Linked DNA regions of Lytechinus pictus. The protein of the gene in region 3 purifies or fractionates together with the protein of the main gene of each other region. This does not show direct contact. Links are inferred from orthologs where the notes say so. Each region holds a gene or a part of one and is shown on either strand. Other genes may lie near its edges.

Region 1 (7,962 bases), on a different chromosome or scaffold from region 3:
GGCCCATAACATTGTGAGATCAGTATACTGTGATACACTGTACACAGGCCTGACTGTAAGTCAAAATTCCTACCTGTTGAAGCATTCCATTTCAGTTGAGTTGGTTGGCCACCTTCCGACTACACTTGCATTGGCCCATATCCTTGGGGTAGAGTCTAGCAGCCATTTGAATTGTTTGTTTATCTGTAATTGTCAACAATAAACGTTTTAAAATTAATTGTGTCAGTTACCATATTTTGCACTTATTTTTAGAGCAAGAATGAAAAAAAAAACTGATTGGCAGATTATCATACAAAATACTTTAAAACACTAAAATGATTCACTGTTAAGAATCTGTGGTCTGATTGGTGAGACTGCATTATTCTAATTAATAATGGGTCCAACAGATCATAAGTATTAAATTATACAAAATCATAATGTTTAAATAGCGTATTTGGATTGCCTGCTCAAGCCAAAAGTCACAAGTAACTTTTCCAGTATTTTTATGACACTCGAACCTGATCACATAGAAATACATTTGTATTTGTATTTAAAAAAAGGTACCAGTATTTTTCACCCTCTCCCATGTCCCAAGTACATGACAAGAAAACAGAAGAGAAAAGAAGGCAGTTTTCTTTCAAAGAGATTGGAAAATAAACAATCTGAAAATCAGATAATCCTAATCGATACTTACTCTATACATATTCTGGAGATCACACATTGGTAAGAATTTCAGTAGATAAATGAGGAGTTCATCTGGGAGATCGATGAGCATGGTTTTTGGCAGCTTACTGTTGCTCCTGAGAACCCGTACATGGAGACTGGTTGACCTTGATGATGATGGTGACTGTTTTGCCATTTCAGATGATGACCTTGCAGGCAAGGTACATGTACGGCTACAAGTATCTACAAATTACATTAAAAAAGAAGAAGATTATTCATGTGCTATAAAACAGCTACAATGCATGGATTTGATTATGAAATCAATAAATTCTAGTACAGATTACTCATCACGATAAGTCAATACATCATTATACATGTACTTATAAAGAGTAATGCCGTTGTATGGAAAAGGGGTCTCTCAACAAGGAAATCTTTGCCCAAGAAATAAGTTCTTTATTCAACTCAAGCTCTCACTGAATATCCACTACCTACAGTACATCCAAGTCCCAGACCTAGTCCTGCCTGCTGACCAAAGCAGTTGTTATGTCCAGGCGGGTGAAAATCCTGACAATGTCAGTGACAAGACAGTAATTTCAAGAATTTGACATGGAATGTTGGTCACTGATTCATTGGAAAATGTGAAGACTCATGGAGGTACATGTAATCGCCCCTAATATATTTCACTAGAATAATTTGAAATTAAAAAAAAGATTACCGGTACTTGACTTATCTTCTACTCCATAAACATGACCCATCGCTTGGCGACAGCACGCTAATGCGCGGTTTGCCTGCTGTCGCCAAGCGAAAGACAATGAAATCAAGATGGCGACGTAAACACGGTGGCAACTTTTCCCCGTCTTTTCATAACATTTTTCTCGTTTTTAGAATGAATTCTTGTTTAAAAATGAAATCAATATCGTAGAAATATTGGAAATGAAATTGAATCCCATATACATGATTTAATTAGGGCTAGATCTTTTAAAAGTAGAAATCTCGGGGGCGAAAGTTTGAGGTTTTTTGGCGGTACGTGCAGATGAATGCAATCAAATCCCTGGCTCTGTGTAGAGTAAACATGTACGTTAGTAAATGATTTTTACTCTCTAGACTAGGAGCCTCCTGGCTACCTGGTCCTGGGGATAAAAAACCTCAACTTCACTTCACACAGCTACAGTCCTTCAAATAAATACCTCGAAACGAGTCGAAAGGTGTCATTCAGTGACATTCACCAGAGTAAATTGCACATGCACTGAAGCGACATCACACCTAGACAATACTACTAGATGATACCTGCTATTGCTAATGAAGCGATGTCTGGATTACCCCTTTCTGAGATTCTGAGATCAACACCATCAGATTCTGAATTCAAATTTGTCTTTGTCATTAAGTCAGATCTTGTCTTAAGAATAAGATAAATCGCCTTTGCTTTGCCCTTGGGCTTGGCTAGCTTTGGGTCCCCCATCATAAATCGTTTCTTTACTTAGTAGGGAGGGGTGTGCATGTTGCCACGTCAGGCAACACAAACAACGAAACCAAAAAAAAAATGAGCCTGGACGGCTGTCAGCGGATATGGATGGACGACCGCAACACTAGCCTACGAATTAACGGTCAACGGCTCAACGCTCAGCCAGAAGCTTCGGCGTGCCCTCCCACCAACGACTGCATCAAGAGGCTTTCAATTTAAAATAAGAGTTTTGACTATAAAAGTTAGAATATTTCAACAAATCTTGAAATAAAACATTCAACTTCAAATCATATATAAAAAAAGAATGTGTGTTTATCTTACCCCTCATCTTTTAGAAGACAAAGTACTGCACTCAGGAAAAGAAAAGGACTATAAGTATAATTTGTACGAATATTTACACATATCGCATCAGGCACAGTTGAGCGGATGCATCATTCATTCATTCAAGTTTAGCGCGTTGGCTTGCATTGAAAATACACATGCCAGCCGTTTGTGTTTACGTCCGTTATGAGCGTCGTAGCTCATGATTGGCTGAAAGATTTTGCGCTCGGTTAGAAGTATCCGCCCACTAATGAGGTCAACGGAAACGAATGACCTTTCACATTTACGACTACGTGACGTCATCGTATATGTTTTCGTGCTAAGCTAGCTAGCTACGTTGATTTCTGCTACGTCGAAATCGAGAAAGAATCGAAATAATACTTGTACAAGTAAATGTTATTCCATTAATTGATGCAATCGTGAGAAGCAAGATTTGTGACAATCGAGATGGGAGGGACAGACTCCAAGCTGAATTTTAGGAAAGCAGTCGTACAGTTGACAACAAAAACACAGGTAAACGAGAATCGGCCAATACAAAAATTACAACAACACTCGAGCTCGACATGCATGCACTTCACTGCACATGTTAATCATGGACAACTCACGAGCTCACAGCTGGTAGAGAGCTACTACTAGTACTAGTAATAATACCCAGTTGTTGTGTGTCCGGACGATCAATTTTAGAAAGTCTTTTGGAAAAATTTACAAGCGAAGTTTCATCAATTTTTAGTAGAAAATGTTAGGAAATATTAGAGAGAACAAAATCGAAGATGATTATAATAATTAATAATAATATAACTTATTTTTAACTATTGAATTCATATTTTTAGTGTAATCCAAAGACAAAAAAAGAAGGCTTCAAAAATATAATAAAGTGTCCGGACACCCGACCCCCCATCCTACTTGTACTATGAAAAAAGTGCTACGCCGCGCCACGTCGAAGCGTATTAAATATTGCACATCTGACGGAGGTCTAACTTAGTAACTTAGAATTAAATTGTTAAAGATATTTAAGGTTGGATGTCATTCATTAAAACATTATGAAGCGAAACTCAGCTCAGAATGAAGGGGGAGGGGGATGTCTGTGAGTGTCACTGTGCACTAAATAACATTTAACTTTTTTTAAATAAATGTAATTTTAAACATGAATTTCTTTTCATTCCAGAATTTAATTCAAAATGTGGTTGATTAATGACTTAGTTAGGCCTAAGGTTAGATCTAATGTTAGATCTAAGTTAACGTTGCATGTCATTAAATGTTCCTTGGCCTTAAGCAAGGTTAAGTTAATTTACTAGATCACGTTGACTGCCAAAAATTGTAATCCTGGGGTGGTATTTATGTAACTTTTCTTGTAATGGGGTGGTATTCATGTAAATTTTCTTGTAATGTAACTCAGCACATTAACAGTTCGCAAAAATTATCTTTAATCTGTATTCTGAAAATTATCTTAAAAACTCATCTCTTTAAGGACGTGTCCCCTATTTCATCTCCGACACGCGCAATATCTCATCATCAAGTCAACCAATAAATCATGTTGTTTTATGCTTGGGTTCAACCAATAGAAGCGTCTCTTCTGTAAAAACTCTTAAGTTTAGGCTAGCCCATTATTGACATGATGAGGGCTGAGGCGTAATTTCCCTTATGCCTCTGACGCTTGTGCTTGTGCGCTACTGTGCTAAGATACATTTACTTACTTATTTGGATTTACTTGGAAGTTGGATGTAGAGACGTAAACTTGTAGCTTATTTGCCCCTCGTCACTTTAGATAGTCTGGTTACATGTGGTTGTTCTCCCAGGCATATTTACTTTGAAAAGATTCATCATCTCGAATGAGATCTTTAAATTGCTGCAAAGTCTGCCAATCGGTCTCTGTAATATCTTCAGAATGTTTCATTTTGGAAAACAAGATGTTCTTGTGTGATGCAGCAAAAAAAAAATTGTTGACTGAGAAATATGGCATGCAGCATTGAGTTACAAAAGCCCCAGGCTACCTCTCGAAATTTTATTGTATTTTCCAAGGAAGTTAACAGAAAGCAAAGATAAAAGAATTTTCAGAATACCTTTTATCTCGATATCTTATCTTGTGCACAGAGATATATATGCGCCGTTCTTAGTTTTATGCATCATTATACTAGCTCTGACATCATGTACCCTAATAAAGGAAATGTGTTGTCTGAGGCTTATATGGAATATCATGATCGTGCAGCCCTTCAAAGAATCCATTCTCATTTTTTTTAATGTGAAAATCGTAGCATGCTTATTAATAATGTAAATTACAATTTTTTTGTAAAAAAAATTAAATCATGATTATGAATTTTTCTCTAGTCCTCCATGTTTGCTTTGTTCCTATTATATGACAGCCTGTCGAGGCAGGAGATGATGCCTTCTGGGACCAGTTTTGGGCCGACAGCGTTACCAGCGTGACCGATGTCTTTGCACTCATCCCAGCTGCTGAGATAAGAGCACTCAGAGAGGAATCACCATCTAATCTGGCCACTCTCTGCTACAAGGTATATCTCTGAGCTTAGTCTCTGAACAAATAGGGGAGAGTGTTGATTAAGGCCTCGGGGTAAATAAGGCCCCCACTTAGTTTTTAGCTCACTGCTTAAATTTACCAGTGTCGAAGGGATCGGTGTTTGTGTGGTATTTGAGACAGTTCCTTTAATAGCACATATCACAAGCATAAACAATATATCATGGCCCAATGCACATGGCCAGGAGGAGTACAAACCTATCAGAAAGTCAAAAATCAGCATTTAGAAAGTAGCATCATGACTTTATATAGGCGAGTACTGTATCCACCGAGTAGTGTGATTAATCTCTATATTAGTTTACTTTTGTAAGGAATTATTGTGCAAATGAGTACTGTTTTAATATTTACCGCTTTCCCTCTTTTTTTTTTACTGGAAGCCTATGAACTTAACATACCCAATGGGGCAAATGAGGCCCCCGGATTAAACCATAATTAACACTGTATGGTTACATCTGATAAAACAGTAAACCGCAGTGTAGACATTTCCACACTTGCTTTAATATGTACACCAAAAGTTTTCATTTTCAATAGAATGTCGAAACATATAACTTTGACAGTTGAAAACACAATCCGACAATCATTTGATTGATAATATTGGATAAGATTAATAAAGAAATTCTAAATAGGGGCCTTGTGATTGTATTAAACCAACGGAACTATTTTCACTTTGAATATAGCGACACAAAACAAAGAACAATAAATGTATCAAGTTCTAGACAAGCGATGAGATGACCAGAGGTTCCTGTATAAAATACCCTGAAGAACAACACTGAATTAGTGATTATATTGTTAGTAACTACATGTATGTCTGGGTAAAATGGAAATTAATATGAGGTTCTCTACTCACCAGTTCATTTGTAATGCTACCCATCAGATAATACCAGTTATTTTGCCAATGTGAAGCAAATTACTTGTAATATCTCTGAAAGAAAATATCTTTGGAGGAACTTGTTAAAATTACAAGACCTTTCTTAGGAATTCTCCAAGGTGTAGAGTTCTTTTGCAGTGTAAAAGCAAATGATAAGTTCTTCAAATGTGAGACAAGATAGGCCTACAGGCTTAGTTATATGTACTTTGTATAGGAATGCAATAGACTTGCTTGCTCATAACGAATTGGAACATTATCTGAAAGTTCAGTTGGGTGTGAACAAGTTTATTAGGTATTCTTAGGCCTGTATAAAAGTGCATAAATACAGGACTGATCAAGTTGGTTTGGAAGCACTGAATCATTTTTCATTGATTTTCCATTTCTATTGTAGGCTGTCGAGAAGCTAGTATCAGCTGCAGAGTCTGGATGCTCCGCCCCTAGAGACCAGCAGGTGGTACTCAATGCAGCCCGCCTCCTCACCCGCATCCTGCCGTATATCTTTGAGGATCCTGATTGGAGGGGATTCTTCTGGTCTACCTTGCCTGGCCAATCAGTGAGTTTTTTTTCATATCGAGCTGTGCCTAATCAACTTTCTGGTACAGGAAGCTGACCAGCAATTAGGTTCAAGATATTTGATTGATTCTTATTATTCCAAATGGGCAATTTACAGAGTGTCAGATGTATTGCTAAGAAACGAATGCTGTGGGATTTCTAGAAGGCCTTTGTAAAAAAAATATGTCAACTAAAGAGGTGCATGGCATGTTTCCTTTATTATTCTTCCCTCTAAAGGAAAAAAAACTGCTTTCTTTATTACATGTCAATGATGTCAAATGAAAATTCTGTCTCCTTGCAAATCTCATGAAGCAATGGCATGGTACTATAAAAAACATGCTGCATGTACTATTGCAAAAAAAAACGAAATCCAATTATAAGAAAATATGAAATCAGTGACAATTCAGATTAAATCGCTTGAAACTGCAACTTCCAAGCATGCCAATTGATACATTTTTTAATTTCATATGAAGAAAACATGAATGTTTTGCTTTCCTTTTTGTAAAACGGCAACCTTTAGTATTCTAATGACAATCATGCTTAAGTCAGAAATGTACAGTGTACATCTTATTTCATTTTGATATTCTATATCTTTTCTTTTGTGTGACTATATTGGTTTCATTTTGGATGGACTTCCTAATATTGAAATGTAAATATTATCCCATCTTCTTCCTTCAAAATGTGAAAGTATACTTTGCTTCATCTTACATACATGTATCTTATTAAATTTGACTCCACTCTGGTATGTAAGCATGGCATTTTTTCAATATGCTAAGAATGGTTTCATTGACTTTAATCTTAATACTATCTTCTTTTGTTTTCTTCATGGTACTTTTTTTTCTTTCTGGTGATTAGGCAAACATGGATGGGGTGGATGACTTTGTAAGTTTGCTGTGTGCTCTTTCCCTTCCTCTACTAACTTGTAGGTTTGCTTCAGACAATTTCATGTAGGCCCAAATTCACAAAGGTGGTTTTTGAAACCATCTGTTGAACCCATGACTTATGCAGATTTTCTGTATGAATTACAATTATTTACCGCGTATGTTAAAATTTGTCCTTTGCTGATGCATGCTTTTGTCACAGTGCACCAAAACGCCGCCTGTTCTCATGATTAATTACGCTATTTTATTCATGAGTCCACTGTTTGAAGAGTGGACTTATTGATTCAAAACAGTGGACTTCTGAATGAAATAGTATGCTAAACCATGGCAACATGCATCAATTTGGCGCACTGTGACAAAAGCGTGCATCAGCATTGGACATTTTTTAATATACGTAGTAAATATAAAGCATAATTTATACAGGAAATCTGCATAAACCACAGGTTCAACCGATGGTTTTAAAAATCACCTTTGTGAATTTGGGCCTAATAGTCTGCACAGGGCCTGTTTTTCCCTCATGATCTATCCCAAGTGCTTAAATTTTGCTCACAATATACTGTTCACATGCTTTACTTAGTGTCTTACATTGAAAGTCAGATTGGATTTCTCCCCCTTCTTTTCCTTTCTTTGCTTTTAGGAATTCGTTTTGTATTGTTTATTTCAAAGGGATAATTCATTACCCACCATAGTGGATGAGAGAAAA
Region 2 (7,352 bases), on a different chromosome or scaffold from region 3:
GGTGGCTCGGAGAAAAGTAGGTAATTTGACGCAAGTAACCGGACTTTGCAAGCTCAGCGCATAGATTTTGGTTATAAATTATCAAAAGTAGGATATAAAACAAATATATCAGGCGTTTCATTCGAAAGCATAGAAATATATAGGCCTAGTGAGTAGTGGGAATTATTAATACTCGGTTGGACTGGCGCGCGCTGGCAAAACTATAGTACAGTTACGTATTGTATTACCGGACACTATTATGATTCCGGACGCGCATAGTACTGCGTACGAAAACAATTTTGTACCGTAAGACTTCCGCAATTCAATTTCACAGAGCAATTCATAGAACAAGATTGCTAAAACAAGGCGAAAAAATCCAATTTTTACCTTATTTATCTCTAAAATGACAGAAAATGATTTAAATATCATATAACGTAGTTTTGCATTAACAATTGATATATTTTCTGATGGAAAAATGGGCCTGATTTTGCCGAATTTCAGTCCCGTCCTCTCCTTCGATCGAATGATGAAGTGTGGTGTATTGTGGTTAATCGCCGACGGCTAGACTCGAGGTATACCGTGCCCGAGGTTTACCGTGACTATAGCCGTCGACCATCGATCGACAGCGCATCAAACCTGATGAGCGTTACGATACGAACGAGCATAGTATTGGAAAGTGCCATGGGCATGGAACATGCAGCTGAGAAGTCAAAATAAAATTTATCAAACACAAATTTATTACCAACATCTGCTCAGATTTGATGTGAAAAAAAACAAAACATAAGCTTAGAATTTATGCATGATATGATATATGAAGAAAAATTCACACAAATTCTTTCTTACATCATTATAATGAAGAATATCTTTACCCGTCCGGCGCGCGTCCGGAATCATGATGTAATTTGTCACGCGCGAAAATAACTTTTTCGTGGAGGGGTATGCGACAATTGCGATGCAAAGAAAACGGTTGGTAAATATGAAATAATTTTATCATATTCATAATTTTCATAATATTTGGAATAGCAAGTGCAAATATTTCTTGATTGTATTTCCTCTAGTTTTTCATTTTTAAAGCACTGAAATAAAGGTGTCCGGTAATAGGATACACTGCCATACTAATTACTATTTCCTTCGGGGCTTCGCCCCTCGGGAAAAATAGTATTTAGTAGTTGTCAGACCAACCTCGGATAAATAATTCCACTATACTTTCTCAAAGCCTGATATACCGGTATTTGTTTAATATCTTCACCCGTCCGACGCGCGTCTGGAATCATAATTTGTCGCGCACGAAAATAATTGTTTTTCGTGGAGAGCCGAGGGGTACCGCTATTAGAAAATTTAGGGTGTCTGGAGAAAAAAATTATTTTTCTTATTTCAAGAAAATATCACATTTTCTTTGTGAATTTGAAGAGAAATGACCTTCAGACTGACAGAAATGTAACATTTTTGAAAAAAATCCAATTATTGGCTGCAAAAAAGAAGAATGAAATTAGGTAAATTTTCAGCATTTCTCTGCCATAGACTGTGTAGTTAAGAAATGGACACACACAAATCCAAATTTTTAGCTTCCGAGAGCTGTTAATTATAAATTTATTATTAATGCCAAAAACCTGTCCATAATTAGAGTCCAATAAATGAATAGGATTTTTTATGCTCTATCTGATGGTATGATTTTTATAAAGATTTGGAAACCAGATCACAATGAAAAATTGCGACAAAGTGAAAAAAATTGTGCAAAACAGAAATTTCATTTTCCCATAGAAAACGCATGGAGAAATGGCAATCTCAACACACACAAAAATAAGGGGTTGCAATTTACCTCTAAGTCTAAGTCTAGTACCGTATGGGTACTAGTATTCAACCCGGCATAATTCAAAGATTTTGACATATTCCCCAAAATATTTAGAAATAGGGAATTTATCTTAATTTCATACCTTTGTTATGTCCAGGGTAATCTGTTGTCGGTATTTTCTTTATCAATCTGTCGACTGTATGCGCGGAGGATCGAATTATGCGGCGATGGCCTTTTGCACTGAATGGTACTAGTATTCAACCTAGTGAGGATTGATAGCAAATCTCAAAAGGGTTTAGATTGCTAAATTAGATCTAGATCTATGTAAGTCTCTGGCTTTGATTAATTCCCTGTTTGGTCTCATCTCAAATGGTCTAGTCCATAGTCGGATGGGACAAGGGCAGATTGAGAGACAGGGCCATCTTTCATCGCTAGGTTGAATACTAGTGCCGACGGGTTGAATACTAGTACTAAAATCCGTCGCCGTATAATTCGATCGCCCGCGCACACAGTCAACTGGTTGAAGAAAAAAATAACGGAAAAAGAATAACCAGCATTTGCTCTTGGAAATAAGACGGGTCTGAAATTCAGGTAAATTCTATATTTCTATATATTTGAGGAAACTCTCCAAACGGGTTGAATACTAGTACCCTTACGGTAAATGATCCTTTATTCCTTATTTAAAATGATCATATATATAAACTTGTCCTTACTGTCAAAAGAAGCCCCTGAATTTTCTCTTTCCATACATGCCAAACACAAGTTAATAATCAATTCAGATCACATTTTTCTAGTAGCCTGAACTTCCCCGAAAAAATGTGCCATATTTTCCCCTAAATCAGCCTGTTTTATGCTGACACTTTTCAGTGTGGCTTCAGACACCCTACCGATATACCGTAGGCTGCTTGTCCCTTGTGCGGCCAGTCAGTGCGATGCCGATGGCAAGAAAATGGTTGGTGAACACGTCAGACAGACACAAGAAGTGAATAAGATTAAAAGTAATGAAGAAGTGAAGAAAGCTGAGAGTAATGAAAGATCATAACACAAATGAAAACAATAACAAGGTTTAATAAATCATTAAATATCACCTCTGATTTCTCTTTGAAAGTGTGAAAATACGTCGGTCTTGCGAGGTTAATTATGCCGTGAATTACAGGGCAGTTACCAAAATTTGTAGAACGCGCGCTGGCTGGATCTGCATATCTGGAGCTAGCTGGAGCTTGCAAATATTTTCGGGGCATAGGCGCCTGCCCATAGGGTCTATCAGATTTTTATAAGTCTTTCTAAGAAAAAAAAAAATAGAAATAATACTATCTGAAATAAAACTGTGAAAAATATTCATTATTTTTTTCAAAAATTACTTTCATGGATATGGCTAAACCAAGTTAAAAATAATAATAATAATCATCATCTACAAGATAACCCCTATAATTAAAATGGAATCGTCTAAATGAAATAACTTCTCTTCTTGTTGTTATGTTGGGAGTGGCGATTAGTCATCCGTATTTATATAATATGGTATCTTGTAAGGTTACCATCTGAAATGAAAACTTAGGCCCTAAATTGGAACTACAACAAAGCAAGGGAGTTTCATGAAGGACTTGTATCCGACAAGTCCTGTTTTACAGGGGCGTAACAGGGGTTGGTGGCCGGGGAGGGGGGGGGGGGGGGGGGGCAAGAGCCAAAAATTTCCCGGTCATATCATGGAACAGGCAATGGCGTCATGAGGCAAAAATTTTGAGGGGGTGGTATGGTGTATCGTACAAAGAAATATAAATGCGAGCGAGCAAAAATTTTGATAATTTTATTGCAAAAATCAAATTTTGTGATAGATTTTGACATAATATCATATTTCATCCTTCTCTCTTTCCTTTTAAGTCCCGAGAGAGCGAAGCGAGCGAGATAAAAAAAAAAAACCTTTTCATATGAGAATCTAACATGAAAGATTTGGACGTGATATATTAAAAAAAGTATATAATACAGTTTTCCTTTGGCTTGCATGCTTTTCTTTCTTTCCTCTTTTTTTTTTGGGGGGGTGGTTAGTTGTAGAACTTTGGGGGCCATGGTCCAATTTATCCATAAAACAGTGCGCCCCAGAACCTCTTGATATAAAAGCCATTTTAAACCTTACAGATGGCCACTAATTTTAATCAAATTGCGTTTATATTCATATAGCTTTCACACAAGGGCACACAACACATAAATCCAGTGCGGTTATGTACCGTAATAATCCAAATATTTTGAGGGGGCACACATAGCAAATGGCCTTTTGAAATGAAATTGTAATTGTGATAGATTTTTACATCATAACAAATATCATGTCATATACATATTTTTTTTCATTCATCTCATTTCGCTGCCTCCTTTATTTTCTTTTATATTCCCTTGGCTGTGGTACCCCCCCCCCCCCGGGTACGCCAGTGCTTCAACATAAAGCTTAATGCAGGAAGGGTCCATATAGGGGCCCGTTATAGAGCCCTTTAAAGGCAGTGGCGTAACAGGCGGGGGGGCAGGGGGGGCAAGCTGCCCCCCCTGGCGGAGCTCACCGGGAAAATTAAAAAAAAAGGGAAAAAGAAAAAAAAGGGGGGGGGAAGAAAGGGAAAGGGAAAGGAAAGAAAAAAGGGGAAAGGGGAAGGGGAAAAGAAAACTAAGAAAATACATAAAAAAAGGGAAAACGGAAAGATAACGGGAAAAGGAAGGAAAAAAGAACAAGTGAGAAAGAAAAATTCGCCCCGATATACAAATACATTAGCATGATTAGTAAGACAGGGAAATAAATTGAAGATGACAAAAAGGCAAACAAAAGCGGGAAATAAAGGCAGAATGGAATTAGCCAAAATCTAAATTGGAAAATAAAGAATAGGGACAAGATAACGTACACTACCGGGCTGCCGAGGATTGAGATAACGAGCGGGAAGAAAAATGGATGGTATATAGCATAATGTCGTATGAAAGTCTATCATAAACTTGCTAAATCTCCAATCTCCCGTGCAGTGGGGGCTCTTCATCTGTAACCTTTAATGGGTTCTATAACGGGCCCCTATATGGACCCTTCCTGCATTAAGCTTTACATTGAATGACTGGCGTACCGGGGGTGGTTCCTCAGCCAAGGGGAAATAAAAGAAAATAAAGGAGGCAGCGAAATGAGATGAATGAAAAAAAAAATATATGACATGATATTTGCTATAATGATGTAAAAATCTATCACATAATTAGAATTTCATTTTAACAGGCCATTTTTTTTTCTGGCTCGCTTCGCTCGCTGGCGACTTTTTACAAATTTTCCCACATTTGCTTTGGTGTGCCCTTCACAATATTTGGATGATTACGATACACAACTGCATTGAATTTATGTGTTGTGTTACAGCTATATAAATATACACGCAATTTGATTAAAATAAGTGGCCATCTGTAACGGGTTTAAAATGGATTTGATATCAAGAGGTTCCGGGGCTCTGCCCTGGACCCCACCCATAAAGCACTGTTATATGGATGAGTTTGGACCAAGGCCCCCAAAAGTTCTACAACCAAACAAAAAATAAGGAAAGAAAGGAAAGTGTATTATATTTTTCTGAATATCACGTTAAAATCTATCTTTATGTTAGATTCTCATGAAAAGGTGATTTTTTTTATCTCGCTCGCTTCGCTCGCTCGGGACCTATATTAAGCTACTTCTTGCCAGAAGCGCGCCATACTCGAGCATATAGAGCTTCGCCCTGATGCTCACAATCATAACAAAAATCCTGTTCACCGTGGCGTACAAAAAAAGAGAGAAAAAAGGAAAGAGAGGAGGGTGAATATGATATTATCTTTTTAACATTATGTCAAAATCTATCACAAAATTTGATTTTTACATGGGCTCTTGGATAGAGCCCCCGGTAGCTTTGGAGATCTAGCAAGTAATAACAGACTTTCATACGACATTATCCATCTTTCTTCCCGCTCGTTATCTTCAATCCTCGGCAGCCCGGCAGTGTTAATGTCTTGTTCCTTTTCTTTATTTTCCAATTTATATTTTGACTCATTCCATTCTACCTTCATTTTCAGCTGTTGTTTGCCTTTTTGTCATCTTTAATTTATTTCCGTCTTGCTAATCATGCTATTGTATTTATTTGTGTATCGAGGAGCAGTGGCGTAACTACGGGGGGGGGCATGGGGGGCACGTGCCCCCCCCCCCCAATCGGCTGGCCAAAAAAAAAACGGGGGAAAAGAGAAAAAGAGGGAGAAAGGGAGAGAAACATACTGGGGAAAGAATAAATTATTGCTAATTATAATGTTATATCATATTATAATTATGTTATGTTATATTACATTAAAAAATCATAAATTTATGAAACATAGGCCTAATTTGCGCAGGGCCTAGGCTATGTCTTCATTGTTCCTGGTCCTCGCATTGTCTGTTTAACAAGATATATAATCCTGTTGTACTAAAACCTCCCGTTTTCAAGTCAATATACACAAAATATATTTCCTCGCACTTCAAATTATTATTGTTTTATGTATTGACATATGCTTCTTTTTCATGACTACTTAAAGGACAAGTCCACCCCAACAAAAAGTAGATTTGAAAAAAAGGAGAAAAATCCAACAAGCAAAACACTGAAAATTTCATCAAAATCGGATGCAAAATAAGAAAGTTATGGCATTTTAAAGTTTCGCTTAATTTCACAAAACAGTTATATGCACATCCTGGTCGGTATGCAAATTGGCAGACTGATGACGTCACCCACTCACTATTTCTTTTGTATTTTATTATATTGAATATGAAATATTCTAAATTTCTCCTCCTTTTCAAGTGAAACAAAGTTTTATTTCTCCCTGAACATGTAGAATTGTCATTATTTTAACAGTTTATGGTTAAGTTAAGTTGGTCCTTTTTGTCAAATTTGTAAATATTGAAATATTGTATTATTCAAACAATAAAAAACAAAAGAAATAGTGAGTGATGGACATCATCGACTCTCTCATTTGCATATCGCTGAGTTGTGCATTTAACTGTTTTGTGAAAAATAAGCGAAACTTAAAAATGTCATAACTTTCTTGTTTTACATCTGATTTCGATGAAATTTTCAGCGTTATGTTTGTTTGATTTTTCTCTATCGATTCAAATCAACAATTTTCTGGGGTGGACTTGACCTTTAATTAAAGTGATTGCCCCATTTTAAGGTCTTAATATAAACCATTTCCTGTCCGTGCTTACGTTTGCATTCGTGGATTGGTGAGATATGTATGTTCTTCATGAATTCCTAAAATCAGACCTTAAAATGTCCCTTTTTCTGATCTGAATATTAAAAAATTTCATCTTGCGCTTCGCGCTCGCATCATTTGGTTAGTAAAATAAGCATGGTTTTCGTGAATTCCTACAAGCAGGCCTTAGAATGCCCCTCTTCAGGTCTAAATTTCCTAAATTTTCAGCTCGCGCTTCGCGCTCTTAATATTTGACTAGTGATCGAGATGCATATGATGATCATGATTATAATGACTACAAAAAGTGCTTCATGTGTTTAGATGTATATTATTCAAACAAAGTCAGCAAGCGCTTAGCACTCGCATTAGATGACTATGGTGAGATATGTATACT
Region 3 (7,471 bases):
TAAATCATTTTCATATTATCAAATTATTTTCATTTTTCTAACAGAAATTATATTAATATTTATGATACGAAGAACGATGATGATAATATTAATCATGTCATTACTGAAAATACTCATGATAACAGTCTACTGTTGATAACAAGGACAAACTGACCTTTGACATAGATCCGGAAGATGTCATCATTTATCTGACCCAAGGCTTCTACCAACTCATCATCGCTGGAGAAAGTGATGTTGTCTCCTTCAGAATCTATAATTATGGAGAAAAAAAAAACATAATCAAACAATTTTTGTCAAAATAAGAGAATGGGAATCACTGATGTAGTCCCCAACACATATACATTTATAGTGTTTGTAATGTCAAACTATCACATTATAACAAATTTAAGTAAAGTTAAAAAGCAAGAAAAAAAAATAGATGGGGGACCATGACCACCCATTTGTCTGATCATATAGTGTATTATAAAAATATTTATTTAATAGAACTTTATTATCATTTATATTTAACTTCTTTATTTTCTGTATTATTTCTTTCAGTGAATTGGAAAAATGAATGGACCAGTGGAATTGATTTATAACTTCATAATGTTTATGAATAAAAGAAAAAAAAATTACCTTTCCAGGAGAGAGTGAAATTGTCGGGTTCACCCAGAGACGGAAATACTTGAGCTACCTTCTTGGAAAGGTATTCATAGTTTGAACTCACAGCAACGTCAATCACAAAGCGACGGATCTCTGCATTTGCGTTCTCTCCCCGCTTCAGGTATGCTTTCACTGTCATAGACATGTTGCGTTGAATCTGAAAATGAGAACGGTTATTGTATAATAATTATCATCTGTTTCAGGACTCAAAATTAAGGCAAGGCCACTATACTTCGATCTACATGGCATATATTAATACCATATTAATCACAAATGGATTTTTTTAAGTCACAAAAAATATCTTAATCCAATGCTGGGGGGGGGTAGGGTAATTGAGGCCATGCAATCAATAAGGAATCCCAGGACATGGCTTTGGTGGCTTACTATATTTCACATTTTACCTATACCCCTCTGTTAACGGGTCGTGTGGTCCAGTGGTTAGAGCATTGGACTCATAATCGCAAGGTTGTGAGTTCGAATCCCTATACTCTAGCTGCCATTGTCTCCCCTTTGAAATAAGGCCCGAGATTAATATCTGACGTCTATATAAAGTCCTAGCCACTATGACTGATTAACCTAGACGTAAAATGTTTCCTAGATAATTGGTTATATACCAGCTTGGCGTTTACCAGCAAAACGCTGTCCTGCCGAGTTCCTGCGGGAGTTACCATAAACAGAAACTCTGTTTATTGTACAATATATATATCCAGTTTCTTTTCAACCTTTTCTGCTTGCCATTTTTAATTCCTATGCCACTGTTGAGCTCTCACACCTGTATCTCCATATATTTCAACAAACAAAGATTGTTCTTCCAGGCAATGTTATAACAATTAAAAACGAGAGAAAGGCAATTAAGGACGTTCCACAGTTAAAGTGAAATCCATGTCATTTTCACCAAACTTTGCACATAGATACTTTAGAACCTTAATATTCGAAATATGCAAAAATTAACATAGGTCCATGTGCTTGATTTTTTGCTATAGAACTTCAAAGTTCACCCAAATTGATGTTCTTAAGAATTGCGCATTCAAAAGAATTTGGCATTTTTAGACCGCCCAAGATTACTACAATGAGTTTAAACCTGTATACTCAGTCAAAATACATGAAAAAGTCATCAAATTTCGCAAGAGAGTTAATAATTGTATCGTTAGATAATGGAGAATATATTTATAGTGCTATTTGTTTGCAATTTTATGTTTAACAGCACTGTCAGTTCTTAAAAATGGCGTAAAAGACAACAAAATCCCAATCTAAAAAATGTGAAATTTCAGTAACAAACTACAAAAGTACAATAAATGCTGCACTTTATTCAAAATCCATGTCATTTTCACCAAAATTTGTAGAGTTGTAGAGGAAGGTATACCTAAGAGGAACAAACATTCAAAAATAGGGGTCATGTGCTTGTTTTTAAACTATCAGTATTTTTATTAGAGCAAATGTGCTTTGTAAAACACCAAAAATGCGCCGAATGCTTTGTATCTATGTGAAGAAAAAATCAAAACCACTCTACCATTTATTCAAACTCGGGGTAATATTTGTGATTCTTGGCAGCATTGCAGAGTAAAGTATTTTGAAATTGTAGAGAATCTTTTTTTGAATGGTCCATGGAATAATTCCATTTTTTAGCTTCATGAAATAACGCATCGGATCTGCAGTTAAAGTGCAGAAGATGAGAAAAATCAGCACATACCCGCAGCTAATTAATCACCTGTTCATCCATTGTGACGTCAGCGCGCAGAGTGTAAACTATGCGCAAATCATAATGCGCACAAACATAACTGTGGAACGTCCTTAAAGAGCAGTGAATATCTACTAATTATTTCATGAGCAGGGCAATAGTAAATACTACATTCATGCCTCATCGGGGGTATATTAACTGGGGTATAATTTCGATCTCGGCTCATGTCTATGTATAACATGGACCCTACACTACAGAGAGACTGTCCCGATCGAGTCTAATGAAATAGATCCTAAATAAAAGTAGAATTAGAAAGAGAATAACAATTTACCCTTTTGTATATGGCTGATCAAAAGTGAAATTAACAAGTGGTCTAATATCTCTATCTACCGGGCCGGCGTAGAATTCTTACTCTTAGTAGTTTCTGATTAACTATCGATGGTTTTGACGTCGGACGCAGACGTTGACACTCAGTTGCCTCTTGCGGAGATTCTACCGAATCGCAGTATGGATGTCGACTGGGAGTGGCTGCCTTTATATACCCGAATGCAAGACGTTTCTGGAACACTCGAATCCGGACTTACTCAGCGAAATTGAACGTAGACATTACGTTTCCAAAACGGAACGATCGATTTGTTCGTCCGAGCGAGCGAAAGACAGCTCAATGTTTGTTTACATCGTTTCTTAAAATAGAACATAACGTCATCGATACTTGTCTCGTCGAACGTTGCTTAGTCTGCAAACACAGACTATACTTTGACACTTAAACAAATTAAACCAGGTCAAGACTACTAGAATAAACACTCTCTGTCTGTATCAATTAAAATAAAGTTTTAAAATCCGCCACAATATTTGAGTCAATCTAGACCCACTATTTCAGACCCTACAATGTGCACTACTGGGCAGTGTGCGAAAAGTCTAAAAGGAGATGTCTGTACTTGCAGACTATGTGCAGTGTTTTCTGTTATTCCCTTTTTCACACGACCCCAAAGATTCCGTTCTGGAACGTTTCATAATCTGCTTTCAATATCGCTGACTCACATATTATTCCTCCAGATTTATGCAACAGAGGCCAAGACTAAGCAAGACTATTAAGAGAATATTGCAAAGAAATAAGTTTCATTGCCTAAAACATTAAAATTAATGAAACAGACAACCTAACTCCTAAGCTTACTGATGATCGAAACTACAGGCTAATTTGATTAAAAAATATAACTCATATTTCACTTGACTCTCTTATATCGATAGGTAGAATCGTTTTATGGGATGAATACAGGTTTCATGAAAATAACTGAACTTTATCTTTGCGGTAAATATATATTATTTTTTGTGATAAATTATAGGCCTATCAAAAAGGAGATGATTGTCGTGCTTGTTCATTAGGCCTATACTTTTCATGGTCGCGGGAAAGGCGCAATAATGACAACATTTTCTGTTTCTTAATTACCTTTTCTCACTCAAACCAGATTTTCAAAACAAAGTAAAGCAAGATATTTTTTTTTAATGAATAGGTAAAAAAAACTGTTGGAATTTGAACGCAATCGATGTACAGAAATTGAATATAATTATCCTCTTAAAAGTATTTATAGTAATTTTAATCATGACTTGACATATATTTCGTCCTTTTTAGAAGTAAAACCCCCACAAAGAATGGGCATTAGTCAAGAAACAAACATAACATGACATGCATGATGATGATTATGACAACACAATTCAAGGAAAATAAGTAGGCGTTGCCAGCATATTTGATAGGGGCCGGGATATAGCCGGGTAAGATGACATAAGGGTTATAACATATTATGACGTCACCCTTAAACAATAATTGATACAGATAAATTAAAAAAACTTCTTAAGCAACCTCAATCTTTAAAATGTACCTCAATTCAATTTCAACAAAATGAAGTCACGACAATTATATAACGTATATTTTCAGTAGGCTCATGCCCTGTTATTATTTTTCTTCTCAGTCCATACTCTTTTCCCTTTTTTTCTCCCCGCCCCTCTCTTTTCTAATGTTTATTCACCGGGACATATCCCGCCCTGCCCCGTAATATTGTGGCACCATGAACTCTGTTTTATCGAAAACGATACAAGAACATGTTTTAAAATGATAACAATAATTCTATTTTTATTTTCGTACTATCGAACCTTTGGAATAACAAACCCCTTTTCATTTGTGACATCGCTCTTTCAAAATAGTAACGAACTTTATCTTCAGTCAGACCGCAGGTCCCTATATGCTAATGAGCAAAAAGGCCAGATTCATCCAAATCATCTCGTGGCTGAATCCTCCTCCTTGCAAAATCTCGTGATTCGTGAGATTTTATTTCTCTAAGAATATACCTGTTTTAACCTCAAGTTAAATGAAATATTATTGCACCATCAGATAGAGTAAAAGTTACTCCTTCATATTGGTCATTTATTTTGTATACAATATTTTGTTAAATAAGTAAATTTCTGGCCTGAAAATGTGCCTCAAAACTGAATTTTCTTGCTCTGTTTTCTTTTGCAAATTGTGCAAAACTTTTTATTTTGAGCCTCAATGATATCTATATCACCATGAAGCTAAACTTCTGTACTTTCTCACAATGCCACTCTTGATATGCGGCACCTTTTAATCGGGTCAAGATCACACTTTTCCCACCAAGGTACAAGACGAGATTTCTGAAATTTTGTACTTGCATGAAATCCAGAGTTCTGATTGGCTGGATAAGGTTCACAGAACAACAGGCGCGGGGTATTTGAGGAGATTACCACATGGGAAGTGTGACCTTCCCACGAACCCAGGCACTGGAACCGTTGGAATTTGCCATTGTGTGGTCTTTTTGACCAATCAGAGTGCAGTATTCTTGTTTTCAAGCTGCTTTATGTACTTGGCAAATGAAAAGTGTGATCTTGACCCGATTAAACCAATTCTTATTTTGAAACCTATATCATTTCAAAGCATACATATTCAGCTTTATCATGATATAAAAATCATTTGGGCTCAAACAAAAATAAAGTGTGAAAATAGCAGCTTTTGTCAGGTGAAAATATTTATTTTGTAGCATATTTTAGATCAAAATTTTAACCTATATTACAAAATCTTTGAATAAATCCAAACACATGACCTGAAAGAATGATTCTTTTTCTTTACAATGGTACCAAATTCATGAAATTCGATGCACAATTAGAGCAGCAATGACCGAATGAAAAGAGGTGTTTTGGTCCGCATCAAGCTCATTAAATATGCAAAACATCTCAAGTCATGAATATCACTTGGATGAAACAAGCCACTTTCTTGGGACATGCAGTCTGACTGGTCAATACAGTATTCATAACGATATAGCAAACCTTAAGTTATCATTGAACATTCGTATAATAACCCCGATAATAACAAACATGTCCGCCTCGCAATACCTGTCACATTTTATGGTTCAGTCAAGTTGGTCCTTCTTGTCAAATTTGAAAAAAAATGAAATATTGTATTATTCAAACAATAAAAAACAAAAGAAATAGTGAATGAGGGACATCATCGATTCTCTCCTTTGCATGTAACTAAATTGTACATATAACTACTTTTTGAAAAATAAGCGAAACTTTAAAATGTCATAACTTTCTTATTTTACATCCGATTTTGATGAAATTTTCAGTGAATACTATTTTGATTTTTCTCTATTTATTCAAATCAAAATTTTTCTGGGGTGGACTTGGCCTTAACCTTCGGAATAACAAATCCGATTTTTATTTTCTGTATAACGAAGCCTAATATAGGAAGAATCTTATATCTTATATTTTTTTTCATTATAAGAACCTTCGGAATCTCTGGCGTACAGCAAATATGGGGGGGGGGAGAGAAAAAAGAAAGCAAAGGAAAAGTAAGGAGGGGGAAACATGACTTTTGTGTTATAAAATCTATCACAAAGTTAGATTTCCATATATTTTTAAAGGAAAAATGTCTCATACGGCATCGATTGCCCTCTCAAAATTTTCGGATCATTGTGTTACTGATTGGAATAACAATTCCTCTGTTGTTTTGGCGGGGAGGGGAGGGGGCACGAAAAAAAAATCATTTGAGTCGCTCAGTCGAGCGCGCTCACTATAGCCATCATGCGCTGATTGACACTAACATGAAAGAAACATTGATTAAGGACATGTGTTCAGTGGGACTGACATTTTTATTGAATTTTCAGACCTAAAAATAGTAGGTCTACAAATTCTGAGTAGGTCTTTTGTAATCATGTCACTTATCTCACTAAATAAATAATCGAGTGCGAAGCGCGAGTTGATTTCTTTAATATTGATCAGAAAAGTAACACTGTTCGCACTGTAGGAATGTGAAGAAGATATAGGCCTATATCTAAAACAATAATGTGAGCGCGAAGCGAGAGCTGAAAATTTTCAGATTGAGACCAAAACAGGAAAATTTTAAACATTGTATAGGCTAATCATAATAAAAAGAAGTAGGCTAGGCTCACTAGTCAAATACTGCGAGTGCGAAGCACGAGCTGGAATTTTTGTTTTTGATATTCAGAACTGAAAAGGCAGGCGCGGTTCTAGGGGGGGGGGGCTGACTGGGAGAATTTTGCTATAATTTTCACAAAACATCGGGTAAAACTGGACCTGACGTTTCGGAAATCTAGGGGGCTCTTTTTTTTCGAATGGTCGGGTTTCGCAATTGCCCGACCCTACGCGATAACCAAAAATGTGATAGCACATGTGGAAAAAAAATTGAATCAGAGAAATATTAAACCAGTATAACGCAAAAAAATTCATCAAATCGGATGTAAAATGAGAAAATATTGTGCATGGCCTTTTATTCAACATTTCTTGTTTTTTAATTGTTTGAATTATATTGCATACATATTTGACATCAAGAACCAAGATGACCGAATAAAGTGTAAAAACATTGGTAATTCCACATGTTCAGGTAAAAATAAAACTCTGAACACATAATGAGGAGAATATTATATTTCATTTAATGAAATAAAAGAGAAAATAAGTGATTAATTTGTAAGTCTCATTTTGGGCTCCTTTCATGTTTTTTTTTTTTTAATCTTAACCATAATGGAGCTAGCTCCAACCTTTTTTCTTCTCCATCCCTCAGTCTTTTCCCCTCAGGGCCAGGGGCGTCTGTCAATTTTTCAGATTGGGGGGGGGGGGCAAAATCAT
Region 4 (7,776 bases), on a different chromosome or scaffold from region 3:
TTACACAATATAATTTCAGTATAAGTTCAGTATCTCAAATTCTGTCATTCAGAAATAATGTTACATGTAGTACAGTAAGAGCATTCAATATGTACATTTTACAAAAATATATGGCTTGCAGTTGCAAGCTCAGAAGATTCTGCTCTTGTTGAGATTTACATCATGTTCAGACATACAACAAATTAGTAGACCTTGAAGTCTACCTAAAGCCAGTCATTTCAATGTCCATAAACACATGAAGAAACAGATTTCTATATTTTTTTCCTGTTTCCTCTAGTGGATAAATGTTAGATTTGGGGCACAATATCTGGTATAATAAGCATTTTTTGTGAGGCCATCTATTGGAGAAAAATACAGAAATCGATTGCACAAATTTTTTCTTTCTACAAATATAAATAAGGAAAACCAATCAGCCTTGTGCATAGGACTTGGCACATGATAAATAAATGTAACTAGGAACCGAGTCAAATGACTGGGTTCCTAAATTTAGTATTTATCAATCAACCATTAGATCAGAGCAGATCTAGACAAAAACTGTCAGAACCCATTGATTTTAGCTATTTATTGGGAAGACAAAGTTATAATACAACCTGGTGTACCATTTGTTGTTTCTTCGGACAGCTAGGGTTTCTAATGGTGGCATTAATTAAGTTCATAACCTTAATTCAGCCCCATGGTAGTTTTATAACTGTCCAAATCCAGCATATGTGCAACTGAAATGTGGGCACCAATTAATATTGGCACTTTTGAAATCAATATTTTACTTCTAAGCAGCAACAAGTAAAAAACAATTAAAAAAAAATCTACATGCTTTGAACTTTTCAACCTCTGAGTGAATGAAAGACTCTAGAACGGGAAGACAGAACACTTCACTGACTTCGCGTAACACTTTAGACCACTCATACGATTGCGAGGTTAGTATGCTATACTAACCTCGCACACCGAACCGTGTTTGGGTCTGGATTTTGAAGAAGTCGACAAACATCGCTTCATTACACTACAGAAATAAAATTTGCCGAAACACCTTTTTACTACTCACCGGAACTCTTCAGGAGGCAGGGTAGCTCAGTCGGTTAGAGCGCCTGTTCCGGATAAGATCGTAGATCTCAACGTGCGTGGGTTCGAGTCCCGCAGCATGCCGGAAGACGTTTAACAAAAAAAATCTTATGCTAGCATTGTATGTTAGCGTGCCTCACCGCTGTGTTCAGTGAGGGTGTGAATGCAGTTGGAAAACACTCCGTCCATCGGAAAGGACGCAAATGTTGGTCCCGTGTATAGGAGAGTCACAACCTATGCACGTTAAAACCAATACAAAAAAAAGAGCAAAATCGCTTACCTCGGCCTGGAAAGTGGCTTTGCATTCTAATGTACATCCTCTTTCACAGAATAAAAGGAAGCTCGATGGTGGTGCTAATGATATTCACAACCTTAATTCAGCTCGTTTTATAACTGTGTCTAAATTCATTGCATGCGCAAGGCTACAGGCTAATTGTTTGATAAAATATGGACACCAATAAATGTAATACCTTCAAAAACATACTTTTAGATTATTATTGCTAACACTTTTTGGAAATCATTTAAAGTGACAACAAATTAGTGCTGTTATCGATAACCTAGATCTAGTCCTGTCGATAAGCGCATGTTTTTGCCACTTAGCGATATATCAGTAACCTGTCTCACGTTGTCCCAAGTCTCCAATATGGGAGAGAGTCTCCCAATACTTTAGACTATAAAGTGGCCGTGCGCCTCTAACATTACACCGTCTAAACTCATTTCGTCTGCAACCAGTTCGGCTAATATCCAATTTGTCTAATTCCCACTTGGTCTAATATCCAATTCGTCTAATTTCCATTTTGGCTAATAACCAGTTGGGCTAATTCTCATTTGGTCAAATATACAATTCGTCTGATGACCACTTGGTCTAATAGCCAAATGGTCTAATCCATTTGGTCTAATGACCACTTGGTCTAATCACCAATTGGTCTAATGCCCAGTTGGGCTTATCGGCACTTGGTCTAATTCACACTTGGTCTAATGTCCATTTATTATACAAGGCATTCATAGAGCCACACATAACTTATGGAATCGAGGTGTGGGGGAGTACTTACAAGAGTAGCTTAAATTGTATATTTTACACCCAAAAAATGGCAGTACGTGCCATCACATTCAGTGAGTGGCGAGCTCATACACGTGTATTATTTCAGAATTTAAAGATCCTAAATGTATTTGAAATGCACAATTTATCTATATGTACCTTCATGTATGACCTGGGTAATAATAACTTACCTCACTCTTTAGTAGATTATTGCGATGTAATAGAGCATAGATACCCAACAAGACAAAAAGAAGGTCGACAAGTACATTTACCAAAATTACGGACTACTCAAGGACAATTCTCTCTATCTTTCTTAGGAAGTGATTACTGGAATAATGTACCATTAGCCATCAAACTAAAAGTATCCAGAAACGATTTCAGGAATTCATTACAAAATCATTTATTAAATCAATAACTTATCATATTGCTCTGTATATAACATAAATGTTACACTCATAATTTTATTATTTTTTTTTTTTTTGTAGTTGTTGTTTTTGTTGTTTTTTTTAAAAAAAACATACTTTAAAGTTCAATATTCGCCTATATTACTAATATGTATAGGGGCCAGGCTCGATTAGCACTTGTGCTATTTTCTGGTCCCTTTTATCAGCTCTTAACATATACATGTATGTTTCATTTCTGTAATATTTATATGCATGACATAATAATGTAATATGTAAACATCTGTAAATATGTTGTTATCGTTGGTGAATAAAATCAAATCAAATCAAATCAAATCAAATCAAATAATTCATTATCATTTATTTGATTTTAGAATTAACAAATATTGTAAGTAATGGATACATATCATGGATCAGTTAATACATGACGCCAGGATCCGGAGGACGGGCCGGAGGGGTAGAGCTGGGGTAGGGCTGCTGGGCGCAAAACCTCGACGTGAAAGTCTATCGATGACGAGATAGTTGCTCATCAAATGAATTATTCTAATCAAATATAATTCTTATAATTAGGCCTACCGGTATATATCGATAATATAGATGATGATGAAAACTATATCATACTCATCATTACATCATTGCATGCACATCATTACATCATTGCATGCACATTTAAAGAACAATAAGTTGGGGACCTTGTAGCTTATAATGATCGAATGGCAGGGTTTTATCAGAATAACATTATGAAGAAAGGAACGAATTACTATAATTGTGTGGATACGTATCTGGTAAACATGTTTATGCCTCTTTTAAATCATTGTTACAAGTATGCACCATATGTTATGGACAATACTTGAAGTTGATGTAAAATAAGCAATAGTTATCCAGCTTGGGTATTCCAAAAGTTACAAAGCCATTAGATCATGTATTGTTATGAATATTTTGTTTAGTTATTTCAATAGTGAGTTTGGAGGCATATAACAGACCAGTTTGATAACACTATACAGGTTTATTGGGTTAGCTGCGACAACATCACATCGACCATCTTGGTGGCAGCCATGACTCATTCTGACGTGTAATAACATAGTATAGCCTACGCTTGCCGATCTTTATCAGTTATCACCACAGTAGTCATTAATCTTATATAATCTTCTAATTCTGTTTTTTTAACTACTTCTTCGCCTCCTCCTTAAAATGGATTGGCAGGGTTCCCAGCCCATCAGGGATATCAAGGAAATAAGGGATTTCTTTTTTATTATTCCAGTCAGGGAAAAATCAGGGAATTACCTCAAATCAGGGGAAAATGCCTTAAATGAGGGCAAAATCAGGGGATCTTGATCGGCCCAAAAGTCGAAAGCACGATAGCCAGTCAGACACTGTTATATTTTGTTGTATATTAAAACAACATTCATTGAATGACATTTTATGGTGTTTTTTTTTTTAGTGTAGCCTCTTTTACTACAGTACAAGTAGGCCTCATGGTACATAATTAAACATAAAAGTAGGCCTACATGTATATAAAAAAATAATAATACAAGTAATCCACTGCAACAACTTAAAAAACATGAGAAACTGGGAATAGGTTTAAATAATAATCAGGGAATTTTTAAACTTCATCATAGAAAAATCAGGGATTTTTGTTTTGAAAAATTGGGAACCCTGATTGGGTTAAGCCAAGAAGATTCTATGACTAGAGTTCCAACAGGCAACAAATTTATTCAAGCAGCTGTTCATTTCTAAAGAAGCACAAAAGAAAGAACGGCAATAAGGACCTTTTTGATGTCCGCCTTCGAAGCCGCCAGTTTCAATGAAGAAATCCGAGGGGTGAAATTTTACGAATATTCATTTGTATCAACTTTTCATGTTTCATATTAATAAACAAACTGAAGTTTGAATGCATGACAAAACATCAATAACCAAGCACTATTACGACGAGATATTTGCCCATATTATATCAATTAACCTTTAATTAGTGAAAAAAGAAACAATTTGACCTTTACTGAAACCAGATTTTAACACTTTTCCAATCGTTTGCGGCGAATGGAAATTTCAAATGTGGTCAGTGGAATATTGTTATTCATTACTGTATATGCCAGATGAGTGCCCGCACATGCCCAGTCGAGCAAATTTGAGTCATATTTCAGGACATATTGCATAGTTTATTTTCGCATGCCTCCGAATTATGTACTACACATATAACCAGACCAAGATGCGGCGAAAAGTAATTATCATCACAAAAGCATATTGCCCTTTATGTATGACCTATAGCTGCGGAGGCATGCGGGAATCATTTGTCTACACAATTGCAAGAGATGTTGAGCAAAGTGCATGCCTGACATACTTTCTGCTGGCGGTTCTTTTCCTTGTTCAAAGAGATTTTATTTGCTGTTACTCCACCTCATTTGAAACCTCCTTGGTTAAGCAAGCCATTAACTATCTACAGTAGATTGTATAGGCCTACATAGATGTGGATGTATATTTAAAAATCTTACTTTTTCACCTCTATGATCGTTTATCAGCGTTATTTGACAGAAAATTGCAAATTTTATTGTTTTTCACTATAACCTTCAAAAGTCCCCTTAAATAGACAAAATATCCCTAAAATTTGTTTAATCCCCAAATATTTTTTTTCTTCCCCAAAGGCTTTTGAAAATCCAGAAATTTTCAAAATTTGAGGATGGAAATATATCGTACGTTACTCTAACCATAGAGCTATTAACAGAAGGAGATCTGACTCTCTCAAACGCTTTGCCCCATGCGCGGCACCGCTAATCCCCTCTCAGCAGGGTCCCTCACGGCGCATTATACACAGGCCGCTCGTAACTCAGATAAGGAAAGTTGATCGACGCGGTCGACAGCTCGGGTTTGCGCTTGCGCAGTAGCGTTTTCACCCATAATGCATTTCACATCGGTTTCACGAATTTTATGCAAACATGGCGGCTCACGATTTCGAAGACGAAAATCTGGTTTTGGAACCAGCTGAATGCAGGGTGACCAGATTTCACAAAAAGAAATACGGGACAATCGACAAAGTACGCTGCATGAGCGGATCGACCGAGCCAGGTCTTTAAAAATAAAGATCAACAAAGGAGGCTACACGGTGTTCGAACAAAAAGAATGGGGTGAACAAAAGAATGAAGGATGGAATGAAAAGGCGAAAGAAAAGAGTTGAATTGAGAACGGAAAGAAATAAAAAATGAAGGGGAAAATGAAGGAAAATATATTTTAAAAAAGGAATTTTAGAATAAAATGATGAAAGATAGAATAAAAGAAAAAAACGTTTCCGTCATTCTTTGAAATGAATTAAGAAGGAAAGAAAAAGAAAAGAAGGAAGGGAAGATGTATGAAAGAAAACATAAGGGAGAGAAAAGAAAAAAAGAAGCAAGAAAAAAGGAGGAGGAAAGAAAGAACGAATAAAAGAAAAATGTTTCCTTCATTCTTTGAAAGAAAGAAATAAAGAAGAAAAACAGAAAGGAAGGGAGGGAGGGAAAGAAAGAAAAAAGGACACAAAGTAGAAGGAAAAAATAAAATAAAGAATAAAAGAAAGGATGAAAGAGAGGGAGGAAAAAATAAAGGGAGGAGAGAATAAATATAGATAAAATAATGGAAGGAGAGAAAGAACCAATAGAAAAGGGAGAAGGAAGCAAAGAAAAGTTTAAGGAAAGAAAAAATGAAGGGAAAAAAGGAAATTTAAAAAAGGAAGGAGAAAGAAGGAAAGAAAGAAAAATGAACAGAGAGAAGATCAGGAAAGAAAGATAGGGAATAAAGATAGATGGAATAAAAAAAGGGCAAAGAGGAAGGATAGAATGATGAAGAAAAAAGGATATGAAAGAAAGAAAGAAAAAAGTTCAATCTTAAAACAAACAAAAAATCCCATAATCTAACAAAAATCATGATATTTCGTGTTTCTAAATATATTTAGAATATAAATAGAATGTTTTAGAAATGAGGGGGGGTTGGGTATCCGGACACTTTATATTTTGGAAGCCTTCTTTTTTTTCTTTAGATTAAACTAAAAATATTAATTCAATAGTTGTACCGGTAATCATCTTTTATTTTGTTCTCTATAATATTTTTTAAATCATAATTATTTTTTGTACTAAAAATTGTAAAATTTCGCTTGTAAATTTTTCCAAATGACTTTGTAACTTAAAATGAATCATCCTGACATAGAACTGGGTATACTTCTTTGTGGTCCCAAACATGTTATTTTTAAGTTCTTTATTATGTAGAATAACAATTTTTTGTACTTTATTCTCCTTTTTACTGGTTTGTAAATTAAATTAATTCGCTCCGCGGCCCCTGCTATTTTCCAAAAACGATCCAGAGACAAGAGCTGAGCGAGCACAGAGCTCCCGTCATTCATTACACTCACTTTCAACTTACACAAATAGGAGTACGGTACGTGGGGCACCAGAGGGTACTCCACGATGCGACAATCGCCAGAGAAATGCCCCGCAGACTCGTCGTTATATTATCAAGACCATTGTAAACACGCAAATGATTTTTGCATAAAAATAAAGCTCAAAGTATGCTTTTTCACCTTATTATAATTTCTAAAACATGTACGGGAAGGGAAAGATTTAACTACGTAAGAAAGACAGACATACCTAAAATGACCAATCTGCAACTTCCTCCGTTTGTAATTTTGTTGAGTCAAATCAGATTGTGACGTATTTGGTATGTGTGCAAACAGTCAGAGCGCCACGCGTATGCTAATGAGCACGATCGCTGAAATTTATTCAGAATCCCATCCGCCCGAAAATCATCTAGCGGGACTCTCGTAGATCGCGAGATATCACGAGAGTCATGCAGGTCTCGTTCTAATGACGTCATACTCTTCACTGGAAAAGCCAAGATGGAAGAATGCAACCGTAAGTAAATCTTGAAATCTTTAGCTTTATTTTGATATGAAATATGTGGTAATCCGAAAAAAATTGAACCTGAAATAATGCTTTAGATCTAGGCAATATTTTAGCCGGATCGGAGATCGAATTTTTCATTAGAATGTTGTTTTTTACGTCCTGACCCTCCTCAGAATTTTTGGCTTTCGTGAAGCCTCCGATGTTGTAGAATGTATTTCAGTGATGAACATGTGTAAATATCTCTGGGACGCAAAATCTCCTTCGTACTCGTATTTTACTATGAAACTACCTCAAATTTTCCATTTTGTCAACTGCACTGACGCTGATTCTTCTTTTGTACTTGTTTATTTTATTGAGTGATGACGTCAGCCATGGTCTCGCGCGGAGTAACCAACTGGTGGGTCAGTCCCATTAGTGT

The links.
Region 1: the proteins of sequestosome-1-like (region 3) and cyclin-F-like purify together in Homo sapiens (affinity purification with western blotting; 3 studies listed by BioGRID). This does not show direct contact. The link is inferred for Lytechinus pictus from reciprocal best matches to the Homo sapiens genes SQSTM1 and CCNF.
Region 2: the proteins of sequestosome-1-like (region 3) and DNA repair protein RAD51 homolog A purify together in Homo sapiens (affinity purification with western blotting; 3 studies listed by BioGRID). This does not show direct contact. The link is inferred for Lytechinus pictus from reciprocal best matches to the Homo sapiens genes SQSTM1 and RAD51.
Region 4: the proteins of sequestosome-1-like (region 3) and histone deacetylase 6-like purify together in Homo sapiens (affinity purification with western blotting; 6 studies listed by BioGRID). This does not show direct contact. The link is inferred for Lytechinus pictus from reciprocal best matches to the Homo sapiens genes SQSTM1 and HDAC6.

What each region holds. Positions count from the first base shown.
Region 1 is NC_087254.1:27,030,125-27,038,086, forward strand, and holds the start of cyclin-F-like, read right to left. Parts: upstream 3,013-7,962; 5' UTR 2,939-3,012; coding exon of another isoform or gene 2,873-2,938; 5' UTR 2,433-2,872; coding exon 2,426-2,432; intron 886-2,425; coding exon 674-885; intron 184-673; coding exon 74-183; intron 1-73. Other genes in the region: protein HID1-like, read left to right, coding at 2,873-2,938, 4,786-4,935, 6,218-6,379, 7,234-7,260. UniProt on the Homo sapiens protein: Substrate recognition component of a SCF (SKP1-CUL1-F-box protein) E3 ubiquitin-protein ligase complex which mediates the ubiquitination and subsequent proteasomal degradation of target proteins.
Region 2 is NC_087251.1:40,097,206-40,104,557, reverse strand, and holds the start of DNA repair protein RAD51 homolog A, read right to left. Parts: upstream 3,019-7,352; 5' UTR 3,013-3,018; coding exon 2,860-3,012; intron 1-2,859.
Region 3 is NC_087249.1:39,147,005-39,154,475, forward strand, and holds the start of sequestosome-1-like, read right to left. Parts: upstream 3,007-7,471; 5' UTR 2,652-3,006; intron 800-2,651; 5' UTR 788-799; coding exon 616-787; intron 251-615; coding exon 155-250; intron 1-154. UniProt on the Homo sapiens protein: Molecular adapter required for selective macroautophagy (aggrephagy) by acting as a bridge between polyubiquitinated proteins and autophagosomes.
Region 4 is NC_087247.1:75,156,889-75,164,664, forward strand, and holds the start of histone deacetylase 6-like, read right to left. Parts: upstream 3,006-7,776; 5' UTR 1-3,005.